Pelodiscus sinensis: one gene and its partners. The protein of the gene in region 3 purifies or fractionates together with the protein of the main gene of each other region. This does not show direct contact. Links are inferred from orthologs where the notes say so. Each region holds a gene or a part of one and is shown on either strand. Other genes may lie near its edges.

Region 1 (7,313 bases), on a different chromosome or scaffold from region 3:
CCCTCCGGCTTGCTTGGATCCGGCCCTTGAGGCTTGGGGCTTCCCCCAGCATTAGGATGCCCTCACTTATCTGTCCAATCCAGCCTTTCCAGGATTTCAATAGGAGTTGTACTAAGCAGGTACAATCAGATGCATACTTTGAATATATCTCCCAGTACATTGCTCTTAGGCAGTGGTTCTCATAGAGAGATCCACAGACCACTAGTGGTCCTTGACCATCTTGAAGATGGGCCATGAACTCGGGGCTTATCAGTCCTCCTCAAGCAGCAGGGAACCTGCACTAGTCCTACAGTCCTTCCTTCACCTCACGAGATTGGAATACCAGTGGCAGCTTCACACTGCAGGATGGAGAGGAAAAGGAATTTTGCAGGCTTTATCTGGCTTGTGCAAGAAGAAAGCAGCTCTGCACACTGCTGCTCCCTCTTTCCATGGCTGGTGGAACAGCAGCTCACGAAACCTGGAGGCTTAACCCACAGCTCCCGTTGGCCAGAATCCTGGCCAATGGATGCAGCGGGGAGTGCAAAGCCAGGTAAGCACCTCCCCCTCATTCTCCTCATGCCTCCCACTCCCTCCGAGACCCTACACCTGTACCCTGCTTCTGCACCCTCCTTCCTTGACCTGCCCACTTCCTGCACCCTCCCTCTGACCCTCAGCCGATTCCTGCACTCCACCTCCCACCCTCAGACTGCTCTTGCAACCAACCTCTCATCCAGACCTCACCTCCACCCTTCCTTCACCCATTTTGTCACATTGACTGGTGGTTCATGAAAGAGTCTGCATTGAGTGGGGTGGGCCACGGGCCAAAAGGTCTGAGAATCACTGCTATTAGATATTCTAGCTTTGCAGTCCTTATTTGAAGGAGTTAACTGAAAGCTAGATCAGACATTTCTCAGCTAAGTTTTTTCCTGTGTCAAAGGTGCTTAATGATATTCAGGGCTAAGTTCATGGCAAGTTAAACTTAGTCTAATTCAACTGTCAAAGATTTTCCCCCAACTTAGATAATGCAAAAGGTCAGCTAAACTGAAAGTCAGAATTTATTTGGGTAAAAAGAAACATTTCAAGGCTAAAAGTGTTGTTCTGTCTGAAAACTGACTCTGAACTTTTTCAGCTATGACAATAGCTCTATTCATAGAGCTTCACAGAAGGACACCAAGAACAGTGATCTAATTTACGCCATTTATTAAAAGTCAGAATATTTCATTCCTTAGGCTAACTTAGAACCAGGTTTTCAGTTTCAGGGACATTTTTACTATCATTGGCATTAAAGATTTTATCATTTTTAGTTGGATAATAAAAGAATCTAAGGAAATAGACACTGTAACCAATAGATTTTATCTAGGGCATTAGGGCTTTAGTCAAAGATCACTGCAGTCATGACTTCAATGACTGTGTCTCATGATCTTAGTTCGCTTTAAAAGATTAAAAGGAAAAAAAGTAATTTCATTGATAATGCAGAAGAATTTTCTTCTAGCATCTATTTTGCATCAGAGTCCAGTACCTTTTAAACCAGTAGATTTCATCAGGATCTGCAATCCCATACTCTCTTAGCCTCATCACCATAAGGGCGCTCTTCCTGATGGCCACCTCATATCGCTGGCTGCGTGAGAGGAAATTTAAATCTTCATGTTGGAATTCTGGATCATTCAGAACTAAGGCTTCTGAGGGCACAACAGAAGAACAGAAAAGGAATTAAGGGTCAAGCAATCAAGCCAGTCATCCCATGAGGAAGGGTAAAACTATAAGGATTAGTATGTCCAGTCTTGAGATACAGTACTAAAAATCTGAAGCAAGTGACAAAGTTCAGTTCCAATTACATCTTGCAATAAATCATTTTCACATTAAATGTACATTTAAGCCTCTTTTAGTCAGTAAGTCACTGGTCTAGCACTTCAAGGCACTAAGGTATACAAATCATTCTTGCTATTGTGTTATTGTGCACCATAATTTTTGGCATATCTAGTTTTGTAACACCCCTGTCAGGTAGAGAAGTGCTACATTAGTCCATTTTACAAGCAGGAAACTGAGGCACAGAGAGGCTAAATATCTTGCTCAAGGTCGCAAAGGAAGCCTGTGTCATTGCAAGGAAACAAATCCAGGTCTCCTAAGTCTTAGGTAGTGTCCTAACTACTAGATCCTCCTTTCCATAAGGGGCCTCTAGGTGTATAAAGTAGGGGTGGGCAAGAAAAAGCAATATGAAGGCCTAGGGGCTCCTTCCCTTATGTAGGGACAGGAGTGAGGGTTCCCCAAATGTGATTCAACTCATCTGGTGGGGACACCCTCTAATTGAGCTGCCTGGGGTACACACACCGGAATAGGACCGAGCCAGTGGGGCTCTCACAGTAGGCAAGGGGGAAGGAGAACCCCCAAATTGAGAACAGGGGTTTCCCCAGAGCCCGGGGGGAGGGGAAGGAAGGATTGTCATGTGAGGAGGGAGTACCCTGAGAGCTTATGGGGGAGGTACGCCATCTTCAGGCGCGGAGGGGGGCCCAGGACCATCGGGGGCTCCGTCGCACGAGGAAGGCCCCCCCCCCCCAAGAGCCGGGGGGAGGGGTAATGGGGCTACGTGGCACGAGGAACGGGGGTCCCAGAGCCAGTGGGGGAGGGAAAGTGGGGCTCCTCGGTGCGAGGGGGCCCCCCCGAGCCAGTGGGGGGAGGGGAAGTGGGGCTCCTCGGTGCGAGGGGGGGTCCCCCCCGAGCCAGTGGGGGAGGGGAAGTGGGGCTCCGCGGTGCGAGGAGGGGGGGCCCCCCGAGCCAGTGAGGGGAGGGGAAGTGGGGCTCCTCGGTGCGAGGAGGGGCCCCCGAGCCAGTGGGGGGAGGGGAAGTGGGGCTCCTCGGTGCGGGGAGGGGCCCCCGAGCCAGTGGGGGGAGGGGAAGTGGGGCTCCGCGGTGCGAGGAGGGGGCCCCCCCGAGCCAGTGGGGGGAGGGGAAGTGGGGCTCCTCGGTGCGAGGAGGGGGGCCCCCCCGAGCCAGTGGGGGAGGGGGCTGAGGCTCTCACCGATTTCCCTGCGGCGGCGGGTGCGCTCGGCGCCTCCATCCAGGAGGTGGGTGAGGAGCTCGGGGTTGAAGGAGGCCGAGGCACGTTCCTTGCGCAGATCCTGGTTCATGGCGGCGCCTGCCCGAGTCCTGACCCCGGCCCGCTCTCACACACCGACTCCCAGCGGCTGCAGCCGGGCGGCGAGCCGCGGTCCCCGCCCCGCCCCGCCCCCTGGTCTGGCACGTGACCAGGAGGGCGGCGACCGAGAGCGAGGGCGCGCGGCTGAGTCACGCATCACCGACACGCCACTTTACTTCCCGCCCCCTCTGCCCGTCTACCCCTCAACTCGGCGCGAGACTTACGCATGCGCAAAGGGCCTCCCCCGGGTGGGCCGCTGGGACTCTAGCTCTGTGCGGTGGGGCGGGCTGAGCGGGGATGCAGGAGAGGGGTTCCTGCCGCCCCCTCCCCGTGCCCTGTCGTGCAAGCTGCAAGGGTGGAGAGGGCTCTCTCTGGCCAAGCAGCAAGCTAGGCAGCGCTGAATGGGCGCAAAGGCTGGGCTCCAGCCCCTCTGGGCTTGGCAAGTCCTAGGGTCATGAATGTAAAACAATTGCTTTAGCTCGGGCACCGCTTTCATGGCATCTTAGCATTGGAGTTAGGTTGGGACCACAGCCCCTGTGAGGGGACCCCCGCGTGTATTAGAAAGACGTTGCGCTCCGGGGGTCATCGCAGAGGTTTAAAGGCTGCGTGTCACAAAATGACAAGGAGGGGAAACAGCCCCTCCAGCTACATCTCGAAGGAACTGGCTGCCACAGCAGCACTGGGTAGCACTAGCAGGTGAAATGCAAGGTACATCCTGAGCAGATGCTGGGTGTACCTCCAAAAGGCATCTCGCAGTCTTCGAGTTTTGAACTTTGATATCACTTGCAGGGCTTTGTGGTACAATTAGTGCAGTCCTGTTAATTACAGGACAGCTATAGGGTTCTCTGCATTGCCAGCTGCGCTCTAACATTTTAGGGCTTTGGCAGTGCAGTCCGGCTGCCGTTGCGTAGAGTACGGGAGTTCCCATGCACAACTTGAGAGCCATAGCAGCAAAACAAAACAGAAACATAAATTTGCACGGGGCTTTTATTACAGCTACAGCACAAATGTGCAAACAGGGCTGGGCGTTGTTATGCTAGGCACTGCAATGCAGTTACAAAACAAATATAATGTGATCAACTGATTTAAGAGTGTTCCCACCAAAAACTTCATTGATTTAACTAAATCAATTTTCAAACTAAATAAGATAAACATTCAAAAGGAGCATGGACTGGTCCACCGCCAGTTAGCATCAGAGCTGGACAAAGAATCCAGACAGCTCCCAGTACCGTGCGCTGGCCGCCCAAAATGGTACCTCTTCCCGAAGACTGTTTCACAAATTAATTTTAAAATCGACACAAATAAATATATCTGGTGAAACAAAAGAAGTGCATTCCATTAGCTCCATAACACTGGATAGGTACTAAATATAAATTACTAGCTTGGATTTCTCCTTAGACAAATATCTAATCCCCTACCTTTGGAACTGCAATTACCCTTGGGCCAATGAACCCGTGTAATAGAATTTTCAGAAATATGTGGGAAGGTGCCAATAACTATTAAAGCCAGAGGCAGCGACACATCCTTGGCACAAAGCAGAACGAGTAGTGAAGGGAGACAGACATTCTGGGAGGGAGAACCCGGATTACCCAGTCATTCACTGACATAAGCGCCTCAGCAGGGCTTTGCAGCTGCCACCCTACTAGGAAAGGAGGGGGCTGAGCTTTTTCTAGTCATGTGGTCGGGACCTGGCTTAGTCACATGGGAAGGCTGGGGGAGGAGGTTTAGCTGAACAGAGCTCTCTGGTTTCCATGTTCCTGGTGTCTGTGTGTGACCAAACGTACCTGGGAGGCAGGGATAGAGAGGTAAGGGGCAGTGCATTGTATGACCTCTCCCTCAAAGGTCCCAAGAGAATGAGGGAGGATCACAGAGATCCTAAAGGAGGGTGAAAAACCCCACAAAGACCCTGAGATCCTTGTTCATGGACTCTGAGGTCCTCTTCTCATGCAATTGAAATCAGAGGCAAAAGGGTGGGGAATGAATGGGGCATCAGCTGTGAGCTAAGGGGAACCCTGTGGAAGGAAACAGCTCTGCTGGTTGTCTGGTGAGCTAGCTAAGCTCCCCTTAGTATGAGTGGAGCTCATACTGAGGCGCTCGATTAAAGTTCACAAGGTAAATGGCTAATGTTCCTGAAGCTGTCACCGTGAGGTGGTCCCCAGTTTTGTTTTTGTTTTTGCGGGAGGAAGGAGAGGTATTGTATGTGCAGTGTGTTTGAACACAACCCCCTGGATCCCGTTATACACTCTCTCCTGTTTTCCTGAACTCATGCCACCTATCCTTTCTTCATGGATTCTCTGCCCACATACCTACCAGTTCTGCCTCCTCGTTCTCCATTTGTAGGTCAAATTCACAACAGGTATAAATAGGGGTAATACTATATATATTCTGTTTATATTAGAAAATGAGTTAGAATAGCCATTTAGATTTCAGAATGAAATTACAGAACCACACTAGAAAACCACATTGCTAATTACTAATTTGGAAAGGTCAGACTGTTTAGATTTGACAGAATCCCTAAGGATTCTCACTCATGCTAATTGGTTATCAACTCTAGTGCTGTTAGCTCAGAGGAAAGTCATCTCCAGATAGATCTGAAAATAATTTGTAAGTTACTTACATGCCAATTCACCAAGGTCTTCTTCGCAAAAGATCTATTGTGATCAACCCTTTTAGTCTATTTCCCAATTAATTATTTTAACTGTAGGATGTGACTAACCCTCCCACCTACTTAAGATAATCTCCCATATTTGTGACAGACTGAGTGCACTTTAAAAAGCTTTCACACTTGGTCTTAGTCTGTATATACCTAGAATTTGAAAGGCACTGTGGTACCATTAAGTATGGCACCATGTTCTATAATTCTAGTTACCAGTAAATTGTTCAGTTTTAAAACTACTCTGCAACAAGCTTGACTGGAACCAGTTACAAAACAGACACCCACACACCTGTGACAATCTTTAAAACATGTATACAAGCACATTTGCTTTCTTGCTAATGAGTACTTTGTTTCAGGATGTGGTCAACTGATGGATTTGGGTCATCACCCAAGAGAAAGTCTGTGTGTTGCTTGTCACAGATCAGGGCAGATGCACATGTGTTCATCATCCACCCTCATTGCCCTCTTGATTGGGGCATGTCCAAGCTGAACAGTTCCCTGCCTTCATAGTGTTATTCCCAGCAAAGCCAGGCTGCCTGAACTGGCCCAAGCAATCTTTCTCTTCAAAGCTGTTTAACAGGTATAATGGCTACAGTTATAAGGTACCACACAGTGCTTCCCATGCAAGTTTACTTTGTTCCTAAGGTAAAAAGCACCACAAGGAAAACATTACAAACAAAAGAAGAACCTACACACCTTGCTGATCTGTTAGGTATTGTCTACAGCAGCAGTTAATGCTGCAAACACAGGTGAGTGAAGGACAGTTGTTTCTTGGTATGTGAGGCTACGTCTAGACTGCAGGCTTTTTGCACAAGAAGCTTTTGTTGGAAGACATCTTCCTCAAAAACTTCTTGTGCAAGAATGCATCCACACTGCAAAAGCACATCGAAAAAGCGATGCGCTTTTGTGAAAGAGAGTGTCCAGACTGCATGGACGCTCTCTAGAAAGTAAACTCCGATTGGTATGCACAGAATGGCCACCAGAGAACCTGTGCTTTTTCCTCTTTCCTCTTTTTGCGCAAAAAAACCCCCTCTTCCCCATCCACACACACCTTTTTGTGAAAGAACTGTTTTGCAAAAAGGCGTTCTTCCTTGTAGAAAGAGGAATACCAATTGCGCAAAAATGCCTCTATTCTTTCGATTCTCTTGTGCAAAAATGTGCTTGAAGTGTGGACGCTACATAAGTTTTTGAAGAAAAATGGCCATTTTTCTGCAAAAACTGTAGTGTAGCCATAACCTTAGTCAGCAACTAGAATTCCTGGAAAATATAGACAGAAATGCCTAACTGAGTTAAAACAAAATACAGGACTATGTAGCACTTTAAAGACTAACAAGACAGTTTATTAGATGATGAGCTTTCGTGGGCCAGACCCACTTCCTCAGATCAAATATTTCCTCAGCTCATCATCTAATAAACCATATTGTTAGTCTTTAAAGTGCTACATAGTCCTGTATTTTGTTTCAGCTACACCAGACTAACACGGCTACATTTCTATCACTAACTGAGTTAGGCACTTGAAATCACTCAGAGGACTTCCACATGGCT
Region 2 (7,877 bases), on a different chromosome or scaffold from region 3:
ATACTAGACCAAATTCATCCCTGGTAAAACTCCACTGATTTCTGTGGAGGTTCACCAGGGGTGAATTTGACTTCTCATTATTTCCTGACCTTAACGCCAAGGGAAATACACCAGCGGCATGCCCCTAGAAATGAGTATTTTGGTGAGCTGATGTTTTGTCTTATGCTACCAGAGTTAAATGTCCTGCCTGTTAACACAGGAATTCCTAGCATTTTCACAATAACCTGACCAAAAGAGTCAAGTTATTCATGAATTTTGAGGACAGCTTAGAACAGTAGAGTTCAAAGTCTTGTCCCACCAGAAGCGGCACTTCTGATAACCAATTAACAGGTAATGCTAATTCAACAAGTAGTATTAAAGAAAGATGAGCCAATGAACAAAAGCTAACAAAAATACTAATTCTTTGTATAACCGTATATATAAATATCACATGGTATTTTATGAAAACTAACATATTCAAAGTACTTAAATCCTTCTTTTTATACTGAACATAAGAACGGCCATACTGGGTTAGACCAAAGGTCCATCTAGCCCAGTAGCCTGTCTTCTGACAGTAGCCAATGCCAGGTGCCCCAGAGAGAACGAACAGAAAAGGTAAATATCAAGTCATCCATCCCTTATTGCCCATTTCCAGCTTCTGACAAACAAAGGCTAGGGACACCTTACTGCCTTAATAAAAACGTTTTTGTTTAATAATAAACCTAGTGCAAATAAATTGTTACCTGGGATGTGGGGGAGCACAGCTGTACATCTCTCATTGATAAACAGGGTGAACATATTAAAGAGCTTACTGTGCATAACTTATTTTATAAAAGATGGATTTATTAGGAAGTTTGGTTCCTTTTGAGGGCTCTGCTTTTGGGTGCTGTCAAGATCCTATAACTGATCCCTCCCAGACCTGAGCTGGTTCAACATCTGTGTTACTCATCACTCACTAGCATGTACGGACTTCTGCCTGCCCCCCTCACCCTACTGCCTCTCTATCAGAGGCAGCAGGAGGGGAGAGAAGAGGGGAAATACAGAGGCAGCTGGAGGTGGAGAATGCGAATGCATGTAGTCGACAGGATTAACTGATATGACCAGGCTTATTGGTTAACCATGTAGTTATCTACACATTGACATTCCTTGTCACAAGAGGATCTCTGTGATCCAACCCATCACACAAGGTGTATTAGATTTCAGCCTGGACCTATACAAAACCTTGGGCTCATGTCCTGATTAAGAGCACATATGTTGCCAACTACATAGACCAGAAATCAACAACACTGGAAAAGTTGCTATACCAAGATTTCAGCTGATGAAAAGTATTAGAGGCTTCATTCTACAAATTCTATACTATCAGGCAGTATGCTAACTACCAAGACTGTACGTACTGATATCTGTGAATATATTCACAATAATAGGGACTACACCCACTAATAAGCATTTCAGGGCCAAATCCTAGATCTCTAACGTACGTTCCATAATATCAGCTTTGAAATACTGTGGAAACGTTGCAAAAGGGCTTAACCATGGATTACTACAAACATATCAGGGACAAATAAAACGTTCCAAGCAGGGGTCCTCGACCTGTGCCAACAAAATGCTTATTGTAACATTAAGACACTTTGACATGACCATTTATTTACGAGGCATGCTTTTTCTCCGGGTTTAGAGCAGGGATGTCAACGTGTAGTCAATTACATGATTAACTGATAAACCTGGTCTTATGGGTTAGTCCTATCTACTACATGCACTTCCCGGGCTTGCTGCCTTGCTATCAGATGCAGTCCGGGGGAGGGGGGACAGGAGCCAATATGCTCAGGGAGCTGGCTTCTAGGCTAGCTCCCCATGTGTGCCAGCTGCTGTGGAGCCACCGGCCCCCGCCTTGATGCCTCCCACAGAGGCAGTGTGGGGGAAGCCAGCACACATGGGGAGCTGACTCCATGCTCCCACCTACCTTCCCTCACCCCATGCTGTCACCTCCTACAAAGCCACAGGGTGGCTTTCAAATCATCTCCCTGTGCATATACACTCCCTGGAGCTGCCTGTCCCCCGTGCTGCTGACTTTTTAAAGCGATGGACTGGGGAGAGGGGGCGCAGAATCAAGAAGTGCTTGTGCCAGTTACAAAGTAAGAGATTGTTAAATTGGTGCAACTTTATTCAAACACATCCAAATGTCAGGACAAATGTGTTTGTCTTCTGCTGCATCACCTAAGGCTCAGAGCTTATTATAGGATAATCCAGGTGAGTATTTTGAGGAGAGGCCTGGAAGGATAAGTGAAGCACAAGAGGTGATTAAGTACATCGCTAACCTCCCACTGGCACACTCCCAGTACCCAGTGGAAAGTCAGGTGATCTGGTTTCAGTCCCTACTTCTGACACAAGTTTGCCATGGAATCTTAGGCAAGTTACTTAGTCATGTTCTGTGCCTCAGTTTCCCCCATCTTTGCATTATGAACCTAAATTAGAGGGTGATGAGACGCTGAAGATTTTCTTATAAAGCATCTCTGACAGAACGGGCCTGGGTGCCTTCTTTGCACACCCGCCCCAAAGGTCCCCACTCCTTTCTCCCCCAGGTCCATCTTGTGCACCAACTATTTAGCGTGACACTCTATCCCTTCTGCCCCACCTCCTCAGCTGAGTGCTTCCCCCCACATCTCCTTTCTGCTCCCCTTACACCCCGTCCAACGGCTGCCCCCTCCCTCCCCACACCCCTCTCTTCCAACGGCTCCCTCGCCCCCTCCCCTCCCTTCCGTCCGTCCAACGGCTGCCCCCTCCCCTGATCCCCCCCATCCAACGGCTCCCTAGCCCCACCCCCGTCCAACGACTACCCCCTCCCTCCCCTCTCTCCCAACAGCTCCCTCACCCCCAACAGCTCCCTCTCCCCCTCCCTTCCGTCCAACGGCTCCCCCCCCAACGGCTGCCCCCTCCCTCCCCTCACCTCTCCCTCCCAACGGCTCCCTCCAACGGCCCCCTCCCTCCCAACGGCTCCCCCCTCCCTCCCCTCACCTCTCCCTCCCAACGGCCCCCTCCCTCCCCTCGTCTCTCCCTCCCAACGGCTCCCTCACCCTCCCTTCCGTCCGTCCAACGGCTCCCCCCAACGGCTGCCCCCTGCCCTGAGCCCCCCGCCCAGCGGCCCCTGCCCACCTAGGCCCAGCAGGTCGGCGCTGATGGCCTTGCCGATGCCGGTGCCGCCGCCGGTCACGATGGCCACGCGGTTGCGGAAGAGCCCGGCGGCCAGGACCCTGCAGCAGCCGCCGCCGCCCGGAGCCGCCATCGCCGCACCCTGGGGCCCCGGCCTCCCACGTGACCCCGCCGCGCCCCGCCCCCGGCCTCAGACAGCGCCAGGGGCTGGGGGCGGCGGAGAGAGCAGCGGCCAGCGCCCGCCCCGGACACTGGGGAGGCAGGAGCATCGCCCCCCCCGCCCCATTGCAGAGCAGCTGGGGCAGGAGCATCGCCCCCCCCGCCCCATTGCAGAGCAGCTGGGGCAGGAGCATCGCCCCCCCCCGCCCCATTGCAGAGCAGCTGGGGCAGGAGCATCGCCCCCCCCCCCGCCCCATTGCAGAGCAGCTGGGGCAGGAGCATCGCCCCCCCGCCCCATTGCAGAGCAGCTGGGGCAGGAGCATCGCCCCCCCCGCCCCATTGCAGAGCAGCTGGGGCAGGAGCATCGCCCCCCCCTCCCCATTGCAGAGCAGCTGGGGCAGGAGCATCGCCCCCCCCCCGCCCCATTGCAGAGCAGCTGGGGCAGGAGCATCGCCCCCCCCCGCCCCATTGCAGAGCAGCTGGGGCAGGAGCATCGCCCCCCCCCCCGCCCCATTGCAGAGCAGCTGGGGCAGGAGCATCGCCCCCCCCCGCCCCATTGCAGAGCAGCTGGGGCAGGAGCATCGCCCCCCCCCCCATTGCAGAGCAGCTGCCCCTCCTTTGCAGAGCAGGAGCATCGCCCCATTGCAGAGCAGCTTCCCCCCCCCCCCTTTGCAGAGCAGCTGGGGCAGGAGCTTCGCCCCCCCGCCCCATTGCACAGCAGCTGACCCCCTCCCTTTGCAGAGCAGCTGGGGGCAGGAGCATCGCCCCCCACCGCATTGCAGCCCCCCTCGCCTCCATTGTAGGGTCAGGGACATGTACCGCTCTCTGCAGACTCCACCCTCGTTCCCTTTGCAGACCAGCTGGAGACACAAGCGTCCTACCCCACGCAGACCTAACTGAGAAGGGCAGCAGGTAAGTTTGATCTAATGTCAGGTGATTTAGCTGCATTTGGCTTAATGTAAGGGGGGCTGACTACTCCCCCCGGCACCTTGGAAATTCCCAGGTAGATGAGAGTAGGGGGGAGGCAGCTGCACAAGACTCCCCCCCCCCGCCCCCGTTGTCAATGGTGCTGTGCTTTTAAATGCAGGGGAGGAGGGGGCGAGGCACCACACCTACAAACTCCAGCTGCAGTGGGCGATCTCTTCCCAGCAAGGGCGCACGTCCCACCTTGTTCCCAATGAATTGTTTTACCGGGTTAAACGTACAGACCCGAGCGGGTAATGGCTTAGTTATATGCGGGTGAAGTCTGGAGCCTCGCAGTCCTGCGGGAGGGCACCGGGCATGCACCGAGACGTTTCACCTTGCCGAGATGTAAGATTCCTTCCTTCCATGCAGGCACCTCGGAGAAGGGGGCATTCTTGCATGCGTGGTGGAGAGGGACTTCGCCTCCCAGGCATATGTGCCTGTGACCGTACCTTGCAGGCAGGCAGGTTGGAGAAAAGTTCCCCCATTGCATGAATAGGGTTGCCAGATGGTTTCTCCTAAAATACCACACTCCAAAAAAAAGCGCCAGGGAAATTTTTGTTGAGCCAAAAAAAAACCCAAAAACAAACCCACCCCAGGAAAAATGTTTGTTGAGGGGGGAAAAAAGTCATTAGCTGTCCAGTATTTTCTCAATTTCTTTACCGGACAGAAGGTGCAAATACCGGACTAGCTGGGTCAATCCTGGACACGTGGCAACCCTATGCATGAATTCCATGTACCTAAGTGGCTGAGCAAATTTTAGGCTGAAGGAAAGGCATTTTTAGCCTGTTCTCAAAAACAAATGGGTCTCCCACTTTGAATACAGCAAAACCTGACCAGCTCTGCACAGCAACAAATAGAAGGGGGCTCAGGAAACAGCCCTATTCTCCTGGGCACTGGGCAGGGCTGTGCAAAGGACTGGAGAAGTAGTCTCTTTCTGCCTCTGAAATAAATGGGATTTCTTTCCATGCATTAGTGACAGGTTACAAGAGGTAAAGAAATACTGACTACTAATGGCATTTGCTATCTTTTCCAAAATTGTGGTCTAGTCCAGGTCACTCAGATGTGCTTTATTGAGGGAGCTGGGGATAGTTACTTGCTTTATTGAATGGAATAAAGAGACTTGATCAGCTGTGCACGTTTTCTGGTTGGCAACAAACAGGTTCCATCCGCAGATGAGACTGCAGTTGTCTCAGGAAGTAGGGCAAATCTGCCCAGCCTTCCCCTTTTATTTTTCCCCACCCTTGCTGTCTGATCTATTCTTAGCACATTCCTCCCCCTTTGAAACCCATGGATTCCTGCCCACTCCCTTTGAAGAGGAAATAGGTTATTCATAAAATAAAATAAAATAATAATAAAATAATAAAAGGAATTATCTTTACATGCATGTATATTCCCTCTTAAAACAAAGAAAGGTTTTTAGAAGAGAAATCCTGCCAAACCTCGGCTTTGTTTTGTTTTTAAACCTTACTAACCATAAAATAAAATGCATTGCTCTGAAATTGTATTTTCTTGAAGCTTTATCCTTAAATGACCTTCTCTTTTTGAATAATTCTTGAGAATTTTGCAAAGCCTTCACCATCAGATATAAATTGCTCACCAGAAAAATCAGGGCATTTATGTTGTGTCTTTAAAAGGATATTTTATCTCCATTTATCTTATAACTCCTTACATATGGGATCATTCATACACATCCCATGCACTTATCAATCTATAGCTTTCTCCAAGCAAATACCTTGCCTCCCCCAGCCCTACCTTCACTGACTGCCCATGCTCCTGCTTCCCAAACACCTCAGCCCCACCCCAGAGCTTGTCTCCCCAGCCGAAGCCCCTCCTCCACCCCCCATACCTCAACCCCAGCACAGTGAAAGTGAGTGAGGGTGGGAGAGAGAGCAAGCTACAGAGGCGGGGGTGGGGAGGGGATTGAGCAAGTGGAGGTAGGGTCGCTGCGAATAAGTGGGGCATAGAGGCAGGCCCGGGGTGTTTGGTTTTGTGCATAGAAAATTGGCAACTAGGGATGTTAAGCAGCGTTTAATTGGCTAATCGAGTAGTGGATGGAATTTCCATCAATTGGCTAATCGAATAGTCCATGCAATTTGCATCAACTATTCGATTCGTCCAGGGGTTCTCAAACTTTGTGATACCGCGACCCCCTAAAATGCTAAATGAATTCATGTAACAAGAAGAAGGTGATCGGAGAGGGTGTGCGGCCACTACTGGATGAAGATGTAACCTAGTGACAGATGCTGTGGGGAAAGCTGAAGTACTCAATGCTTTCTTTGCCTCTGTATTCACGGACAAGGTGGGCTCCCGGACTAATGCGCTAAGTGACACAAGATGGGATGAAGGTGGACAGCCTATGGTGGGTAAAGAACAAGTCGTGCCTGACCAACCTGATTAGCTTCTATGATGAGGTAACTGGCTCTGTGGACGTGGGAAAGTCAGTGGATGTGATATACCTTGATTTTAGCAAGGCTTTTGATACAGTCTCCCACAATATTCTTGCCAGCAAGTTAAGGGAATGTGAATTGGATAAATGGACGGTGAGATGGATAGAAAGATGGCTAGAAGGCCGGGCCCAGCGGGTAGTGATCAATGGCTCGGTGTCAGGATGGCGGTCGGTTTCTAGTGGAGTGCCCCAAGGTTCGGTTCTAGCACCGGTTTTGTTTAATATCTTTATTAATGACCTGGATGAGGGGATGGATTGCACCCTCAGCAAGTTTGCGGATGACACTAAGCTAGGGGGAGAGGTGGATACACTGGAGGGCAGAGATAGCGTCCAGAGTGACTTAGACAAATTGGAGGATTGGGCCACAAGAAATCTGATGAGGTTCAACAAGGACAAATGCAGAGTCCTGCACTTGGGACAGAAGAATCCCAAGCATAGTTACAAGCTGGGGACCAACCAGTTAAGTAGTAGTTCTGCAGAAAAGGACCTGGGGGTTACAGTGGATGAGAAGCTGGATATGAGTCAACAGTGTGCCCTTGTAGCCAAGAAGGCTAATGGCATATTAGGTTGCATTAAGAGGAGCATTGCCAGCAAATCCAGAGATGTCATTATTCCCCTTTATTCAGCTTTGGTGAGGCCACATCTGGAGTATTGTGTCCAGTTCTGGGCCCCCCACTACAAAAAGGATGTGGACGCATTGGAGAGGGTCCAGCGGTGGGCAACCAAAATGATTAGGAGGCTGGAGCATATGACTTATGAGGAGAGGCTGAGGGAGTTGGGTCTGTTTAGTCTGCAGAAGAGAAGAGTGAGGGGGGATTTGATAGCAGCCTTCAACTTCCTGAAGGGAGGTTCCAAAGAGGATGGAGAGAGGCTGTTCTCAGTAGTGACAGATGGCAGGACAAGGAGCAATGGTCTCAAGTTGTGGTGGGAGAGATCCAGGTTGGATCTTAGGAAAAACTATTTCAGTAGGAGGGTGGTGAAGCACTGGAATGGGTTACCTAGGGAAGTAGTGGAGTCTCCATCCCTAGAGGTGTTTAAGTCTTGGCTTGACAAAACCCTGGCTGGGTTGATTTAGTTGAGATTGGTCCTGCCTAGAGCAGGGGGCTGGACTTGGTGACCTTCTGAGGTCTCTTCCAGCTCTATGGTTCTATGATTCTATGTTCTATGATCTGAGACACGC
Region 3 (7,583 bases):
AAGACTAACAAGATGGTTTATTAGGTGATGAGCTTTCGTGGGCCAGACTCACTTCCTCAGATCAAATTGTGGAAGAAAATTGGCATGACCATATATACCAAAGGGATACAATCAAAAAAAGTCTGGCCCACGAAAACTCATCACCTAATAAACCATCTTGTTAGTCTTTAAAGTGCTACATAGTCCTGTCTTTTGTTTCAGCAAGACCAGACTAACATGGCTACATCTCTATTAATGTTTAGGAGGAGTTCTTGAACAAACAGGCTCACAGATGGACAGACAGACACATTTCTAAAATGTATAGAAAGATAATAACTTTACGGAATCTATAGACTTCAATGGAGCTGTTTAAATTGACTGTCTACATATACACAACTATGTAGATTACATGCAAATAAACTTTGCCAAAAGAACATTATTTAGGTCATAATATCAAGCATTGAAAAGTTAGGATGATCAGAATTAAGGTTCTCTGTGCAACATTAAGATACCATTTTTAAAGTCTTGTGTTTTTACCACAAAACTACTGTCTCTTTCAGTGGAGCGGTGCATAGTGAATGAAGTGTTGCCAATTCATGATTACATCACAGGTTTCATGATATTTGGTGTATTTTCTTAAAGCTCAGCTCTGGGAGTCATTCATTACATGAGAATCTCAGCTTTCATTTTAAAAATTAAGTTTCTAACCCTCATAGTTGTGAAGACAATCTTGACAGCAATTATTTCAGTAACCGGGTTTGGTTCTTTAAAGAATTTGAAACCACAGACAGAGGAATACTTCTTTTTAAGGTCAAACAAAGATTTTTTATTTTTTCTATTTACTTTATAATTAATTTTCAATGTAAATCAATTCACTATTTTTTATTCTTTTAAGACAATATAATATACAAAGAAAAAGCAGAAAAACAGTACAGTTTAAAAAAAACAAGAAATAATAACTTCTCGTACAGATATACCCTCCTGATTTACCTTTAAACAATTTATGGAGTTAACAAATATATAATACTTACATTAAGAAAGATAGAAGCATTGCTTAGATTCAGGAGGTATTCTTTTCTTTATGTTTTTCCTTTTTTTGGATTTTTTGTTGCAACTTACGACCGGTGTTGTTCCCCTTTCGGAGCTTATGTGCAGCAGCGAGATTCAGCGCCGGGGAGGGAGCTCTGGTTGATCAGACCTAGCTTTTTGGATTCGCAACCCGTCCACTCTTGGTCTGTTCCATCCAACCTTATATACCCTGTTTCGGTATTTTGGTACTCCTCCACTCGCCTGACAATTGCTGATGTTAGATTTTTGTTGTCTCATTCTGCCCTTACAAAAACTTTCGTCTGCTCCATTTGGGGTAATCAGCACTTTGTTGCATACTGCCGTCTGAGTTACTTACTTCCCTAAAAGCGGGGTTATTGTTGGTCATCCAATCAAATTTTGTTTTTATTTTACATCTCCTGTATCTCACGATGCTGCCTTTCCTTTACACTTACATTTAAACTGGTGCTCATTTGACATATTCTGGGTAGGCCTCAATACCTTCCTTTCACAAATTCCAAGAAAGGCTCAAAAAAACAGAAAGCAAACAACCCCCACACCTTGCATTTATTATTTTTAAAATGTCATGACTTTTGAACACGTGGGGTTAGCAATAATGGGAAAGAGGCAACTGTTCAATATTTCTTATTTTCCTTCATCTTTTACGATGTGTCCCTTTCTCTTATTTAATGCACACCACCCCTGTCATGCATTATTTATTCTTATTTATTTCCTTATGTATTTTTGTGCTCATCTGTATAGTAGCTGAGCCTCACAAATACTAATAAAAAGCTCTCCACATTTATACTATGAAATAAGAAAGCACCATTATTCCCAATTTAAAGATGGGGAAGCTGAGATTGAGACTTGCCTGAGCCTGAGGTCACAAAGCGTATCAATGGCAAAACAAGAATTAGAACTCAGACATTTCTTAATTACCCAGTCTGTGCACATGTCTCCAAACCACACAGTATTACTGCCAGTGCCAGATGTTCCATATGCCCACAACTCCCATTGATCTTGTGAGCACTCAGCACTACTATGAATCAGGCTCCAAGCTGGCCTATCTAAATTTGGGCATTCAGAAAATAAGGAATGCACTGTTAGTGGCCACCTGATAATATTCTGGTTTAAGTAACTTGCCCAACATCATATAGGAAGCTTGAGGCAGAAGCAGGGGTGGGACTGAGCTCTCCTCTACAGTATTAACTTGCCTAAGCCACAAGACCATCTTGTCTCTTTTTGCAGCCCGTCCTTCCTCATAATCTTTAAATGTAGGGTTATCATATTTGAATGTTCAAAAAAGAGGACACCCCTAAGAGGGAATGTATCTGTATCAGTATCTACCAATGTGTTACATTAATATAATATAATATAATATAATATAATATAATATAATATAATATAATATAATATAATATAATATAATATAATATAATATAATATAATATAATACAGATATATTCCCTCTCGGGGTGTCCTCTTTTTGAAAGTTCAAATATGGAAACCCTATTTAAATGTCTTCTAACTTCGGGGAAAAAATGGCAGGGATCTTACGAACAGCTTCATTCACTGCACAATTGTGATTCCTTCCTTCAGCACTGGACCTTCTGTGTGCAGTGATTAAGAATATCACATAGTGTTTTCTGAGGGTTTTGTTCTCAAATGGTGCTTAGCTCTTTAGAGTTCTTTGGTCTTGCCCCCTCAATTTACCTGTCACTTTCAGAACTCCATGTACTGATTGATCTCCCGATCTGATCCTCTGACCCAGCGTTTCCCAATTTTATTTGGCCACGGAGCCCTTTTCAGCTTAAAAGAATTTCAAGGAACCCCTAGGGTTACCAGAGTAAAATGTGTTAAGAAATAAATAAATAAATAAATAAAGATCCACCAGAACTGGTCGAGCAAAAAATAAATAAATAAATAAAAAAAGCTGCAAAATAGACTGTGTCTTTAAGAGAGGACAGGGGAGTGCCACATTCTCACGGAACCCTTTCTTTTGCTTTGTGGAACCCTGGGGTTCCGCGGAGCACCAATTGGGAAACACTGCTCTGACCAATAGACAGCTTCTTCTGTTATTGTAACATGTGTAATACTGTCTTACTTATTAGAGCATTTATCAGGAAACTGCAAGTAAAACACCAGCACACACAAGCTGCACTTAATTTCTTCTTAGACTCCAGACCAGATTGGATACAGGCCATCCTCACTATAAGTCCAAGATACGTTCCAAAAAAACCTTGGACTTATAGCAAAACTTAAAACGGGGAATTTTTTTCTCCCGCGGCTGACTTTCATTTATGCAAAAAATTTTTTTTTGCATGACTTAAGAGCAGGGAATGGAAGGACTTATAATGTATCAGTTCCTATAAGCGTCAACAACTTTAGTGTGGAACGGATGTATACCAGGGTGACTTATAGCGGGAACGCCTTGTACAACAACATCATATGAAAGCAAGTCAAGAATTTAAATAAAGGATACCTTCTGATGGAGGGGCTGTCGACACTGACCATTACACATGGGCTGTGTCTAGACTGGCCAGTTTTTCCAGAAAATCAGCCGCTTTTCCGGAAAAACTTGCCAGCTGTCTATACTGGCTGCTTGAATTTCTGCAAAAGCACTGACTTCCTACTGTAAAAAATCAGTGCTTCTTGCGGAAATACTATGCTGTTCCCGTTCGGGCAAAAGTCCTTTTGCGCAAAAGGGCCAGTGTAGACAGCTGAGATTTGTTTTGCACAAAAAAGCCCCGATCGCGAAAATGGCGATCGGGTTTTGTGGAAAAGCGCGTCTAGATTGGCACAGACGCTTTTCCGCAAAAAGTGCTTTTGCGGAAAAGCGTCTGTGCCAAACTTTTCCGTTAAAAGCATTTCCGGAAAATCATGCCAGTCTAGACGTAGCCATGGTATCTGGTCCTGTAAGAGCATGCAGGGGTGGCCTCTCAAGACACCTAGACCTAGCACTTCACTAACTTATTGATAATGCTCTGATTTGGCAATTGGCCCTGGCCTGTCTTAAGTCTTATTTTCACTAGGAAAGGCAGGCTGGCTTCCCTCACCCCGCTTACCCTGATCAGCCAGTGTGCTAGAATTACAACTGCCTTGGCTACACACACACACACACACACACACACACACACACACACACACACACACACACACACACACACACACACACACACACACACACACACACACACACACACACACACACACACACACACACACACACACACACACACACACACACACACACACACACACACACACACACACACACACACACACACGCTTCCAATCCCCCTTTCTGCCTAGTGGAGACGTGTCCTGAACAGGCGTGGAGCCCCTGGAGTCCCTGTCGGGCGCCTCGCCCTTTCAGAGCGTGCTGCTCAGCTCTGCGGCAGGCTAAGCCCTGGCGGGCCCCGGGATGCTCTCTTGGCGGCCTGCTCCTTTAAGAGCCGCCGGAGCGGCGCAGGCGGGTGGGGCACGTCTCGGGCTGCGTGGCCCTTTAAGAGCCCAGTTGTGGCCTTTGAAACCTCGCTCCTGGGGGGACACTGGGCTACACGCGAGCCCGGCTGGGCTGTTCCCTGGCTCCTCAGGCCGGCGATGCCTCCCCTGCGCCGGGCCGCGGCGAGGAGCGCGGTGCCTGTCTCTTTAAGCGCGCGCCCCGCCCCCTGCTGCTCGGTGCGCGGTGCGGGCTGCGCTGCAGGGGCCGCCGGGGCGCCAGGTAGCGAGGGGGGCGGGCGGGTTGCAGGTGCCCGAGCGCGGGGGGAGAGGAAGAGCCGGGGGGGGGGGCGCGAGGCCCCCCCTCTGTCCTGGCCCGTGGCAGCCCCAGCGCTTCCCTCCGGCCGCTCCGCTCGCGCCAGGCTGCGGGCGCTGCCGGGGAAGGGCCTTGGCCATGCCGCCCCTGCCCTCCGCTCGGCCGCCGGGGCTGCGCCCGCTCGGGTGGCCCCCGCAGCTTGCTCACGGGGCAGGTGGGTGCTGAGCGAGCACCGCCCCAGAGCCCTGCGGTCACGTGAGCTTTGTGTTTGTCTCCCCCAGACGGGGTGAGGGTCCTGCGGGTGCAGCGCCCCTACCCCCACCATGGCCATGAGGGAGCTGGTGGAGCCAGAGTGTGGGGGCTCCAACCCCCTGATGAAGCTGGCTGGCCACTTCACCCAGGACAAGGCCCTGCGGCAGGAGGGTCTGCAGGGTTCCTCGGCCTGGCCGCCTGCAGGTCTTGGGGCAGAGACAGTGAGTACCAGGGCATGGGGTGGAGGGTCCTTCTGCCAGCTCCTGTGAGGCGGGGTCCTGGATCAGTGAGGGTCAGGGATGCACTGGGGGGGAGGAGGAGTGAGGGTCTGAGTACAGGGGAGGCTATCAGAGCAGGTGGGAGTGGGGAGGCAGGGAGTCTGGTTGCCCTATCCCTGTTGTGGAGGCTGCTTGTGGAATCACTAGTTAAAGTAGTAGTGGTGGTGGTGGTGAGGGGATGTATGTCCAGTCACAGCAGAGGTCTGCCCAGAAAGGGGAGATATGGTGGCTGCCTCACCCATAGAGTGGGTCTGCCTAGGTGGGATTTTGGTCCTGCTATGTGTGGGGGGTGTCATATCATTCCCATCATAATGGGTGACTGATGCTGTAGGCAAGGTCCCACCGCTGGGGTGATTGTTTGCCTACTTTTCCCACAGGTCTCCAAACCTTTGGGAGTGGCCTCTGAAGATGAGGTAAGAATAACTGTATTGCTCTCCATATCACCTTTCTTACTGCCACATTTTCTTGATTCCTCTTCACTCTTTCCATCTCTCATTCTCTGGTTTTTGTCCTCCCTTCTCTTTCTCCTGTTTTCTGTCCCAGAGTCTCTGCTGGGTATTCCCCCTCACCCACTCTTTCTCTCTCCCTGACAGCTGGCTGCAGAATTCCTACAAGAACAGAATGCCCCCCTACTCTCCCGTGCCCCACACACCTTTAAAATGGATGATCTGCTGGCTGAGATGCAGGAGATTGAGCAGTCAAGCTTCCGCCAAGCCCCGCAACGAGGTGAGGTGGTGGAGATAGAGTTTGGGGCTTCTGCAACCCCTACCTACACCTCCCCGTGAGGTGGTATGTCTGGAGGGGGACTGAATTTAAAAAGCCTGCTTAGCTAGAGCAAGGGGTGTCTGTAGATTAAGAGACAAGAATTTAATCCTTGTGGGGGTGTGGCACTTGGGGCTTGTCACTGAACTCTCCCCCATCTCTTGCTGTCCCTAGCTCCAGGTGTGGCAGCCCTGGCTCTGTCTGAGAACTGGGCCCAGGAATTTCTGGCGACAGGAGATACCACAGCTGATGTCTCTGCAGATTACAATGAAGCTGATTGGTCACAAGAGTTCATTGCAGAGGTGACAGGTGAAGGCTCCTCTTGTGTAGATTGGGTGGTGTGTTGCCTGGTAGTATGTCCTACTCTGTTCTCCCATGTAGGAGTTGTCTGTTATGTGAGAGAGACACTCCAGACAGTGCTCAGGGCACTTTGCACAAGCAGCACGTGCCTCAGTGGGTCACACTGGTACAGTATGCGGGGTGAAATTACTCTGATCTAGAGTCCGTGTTTAAGGCCCGAGGGGACTACCAGATCAGTTAGTCTGAGGTCCTGCACATCACAAGCCACCAGCATCCACGCTAGGGATGTAATAGTGTAGTCGCTTAACTGATAAGCAAAAGCTAATAGGTTAATGCTATAGACCAGTGGTGTGCAACCTTTTTTGATCTGTCACCCCTGTACTGCGGAGGCCACCAACTGCTGGGCCCACCCCCTGGCCGGCCAGATCTAAGCACCACGACCCCCCTGGAAAGACATCTGCGACCCACAGGTTGTGCACCACTGCTATAGACTACATGCATTTCTGCCCCCCCCCCCCCCCTTGCCAGCACATTTTTTAGCAGGTTGGACAGCATCCCAGTTCAGTCCTGGCTTGCACTGGGTCCTGGACCTACTCCTGCTGTGCCTCTGCATTTAAAGTGTATTAGGAGCAGGCAGCCTGTCTCAGTTCTGGCTCGTGCTGAGTCCAGGAGCTCAGACCCCTCCCCCACTGGACAGGGGCTGCCCAGGGACTCTAGAGTAGCTGACTAACTGATAAGAATTCATGAGGTTAATCGACTAATCAAGTAACTGATATTTAACATCCGTAACAATGCCCTTTGACTGAAATAAGAGTGTCCTGAGAGATTTGCACCAGCTTGTTGCACCAGGTGGGGAAGAGTTGCCCAAGGCTATACAGCATATAGGTGGTGTGATATGGACTGTAGTCTGCTCCAGATCCCTCCACTTCAACCAACTGAATCCCTACATTAAACTGTTGGGCAGCAGTTAAATAGCTGCTATGCCCCACCCCCGAGGGGGCTGCTTTTCACTGATCCGTGCAACCATCCATATTTATTTCTTTCATATACCTGTTGGAGACAGGCATCTAATTAACATTTATGATGATCTTTGACAGGCTCTGATGAAGAGCTAGAAATTTGCATCAGGAAAATGAATTCTTCATTGCAAACAGCAACCCAGTTTGCTGTTGTCCAAGATTTCCTTTAAAAAAGAAAATTGGTAGTTT

Evidence for each region. The genes of interacting proteins can lie anywhere in the genome.
Region 1: the proteins of PEX5 (region 3) and ACOX1 purify together in Homo sapiens (affinity purification with mass spectrometry; 3 studies listed by BioGRID, with this or other methods). This does not show direct contact. The link is inferred for Pelodiscus sinensis from reciprocal best matches to the Homo sapiens genes PEX5 and ACOX1.
Region 2: the proteins of PEX5 (region 3) and PECR purify together in Homo sapiens (affinity purification with mass spectrometry; 3 studies listed by BioGRID, with this or other methods). This does not show direct contact. The link is inferred for Pelodiscus sinensis from reciprocal best matches to the Homo sapiens genes PEX5 and PECR.

What each region holds. Positions count from the first base shown.
Region 1 is NC_134730.1:10,990,021-10,997,333, reverse strand, and holds the start of ACOX1 (peroxisomal acyl-coenzyme A oxidase 1), read right to left. Parts: upstream 3,285-7,313; 5' UTR 3,105-3,284; coding exon 2,996-3,104; intron 1,659-2,995; coding exon 1,499-1,658; intron 1-1,498. UniProt on the Homo sapiens protein: Involved in the initial and rate-limiting step of peroxisomal beta-oxidation of straight-chain saturated and unsaturated very-long-chain fatty acids.
Region 2 is NC_134717.1:3,125,033-3,132,909, reverse strand, and holds the start of PECR (peroxisomal trans-2-enoyl-CoA reductase), read right to left. Parts: upstream 3,285-7,877; 5' UTR 3,260-3,284; coding exon 3,130-3,259; intron 1-3,129. UniProt on the Homo sapiens protein: Participates in chain elongation of fatty acids. Catalyzes the reduction of trans-2-enoyl-CoAs of varying chain lengths from 6:1 to 16:1, having maximum activity with 10:1 CoA. Has no 2,4-dienoyl-CoA reductase activity.
Region 3 is NC_134711.1:137,879,454-137,887,036, reverse strand, and holds the start of PEX5 (peroxisomal biogenesis factor 5), read left to right. Parts: upstream 1-4,553; 5' UTR 4,554-4,750; intron 4,751-5,064; 5' UTR 5,065-5,106; coding exon 5,107-5,256; intron 5,257-5,690; coding exon 5,691-5,726; intron 5,727-5,906; coding exon 5,907-6,039; intron 6,040-6,249; coding exon 6,250-6,384; intron 6,385-7,583.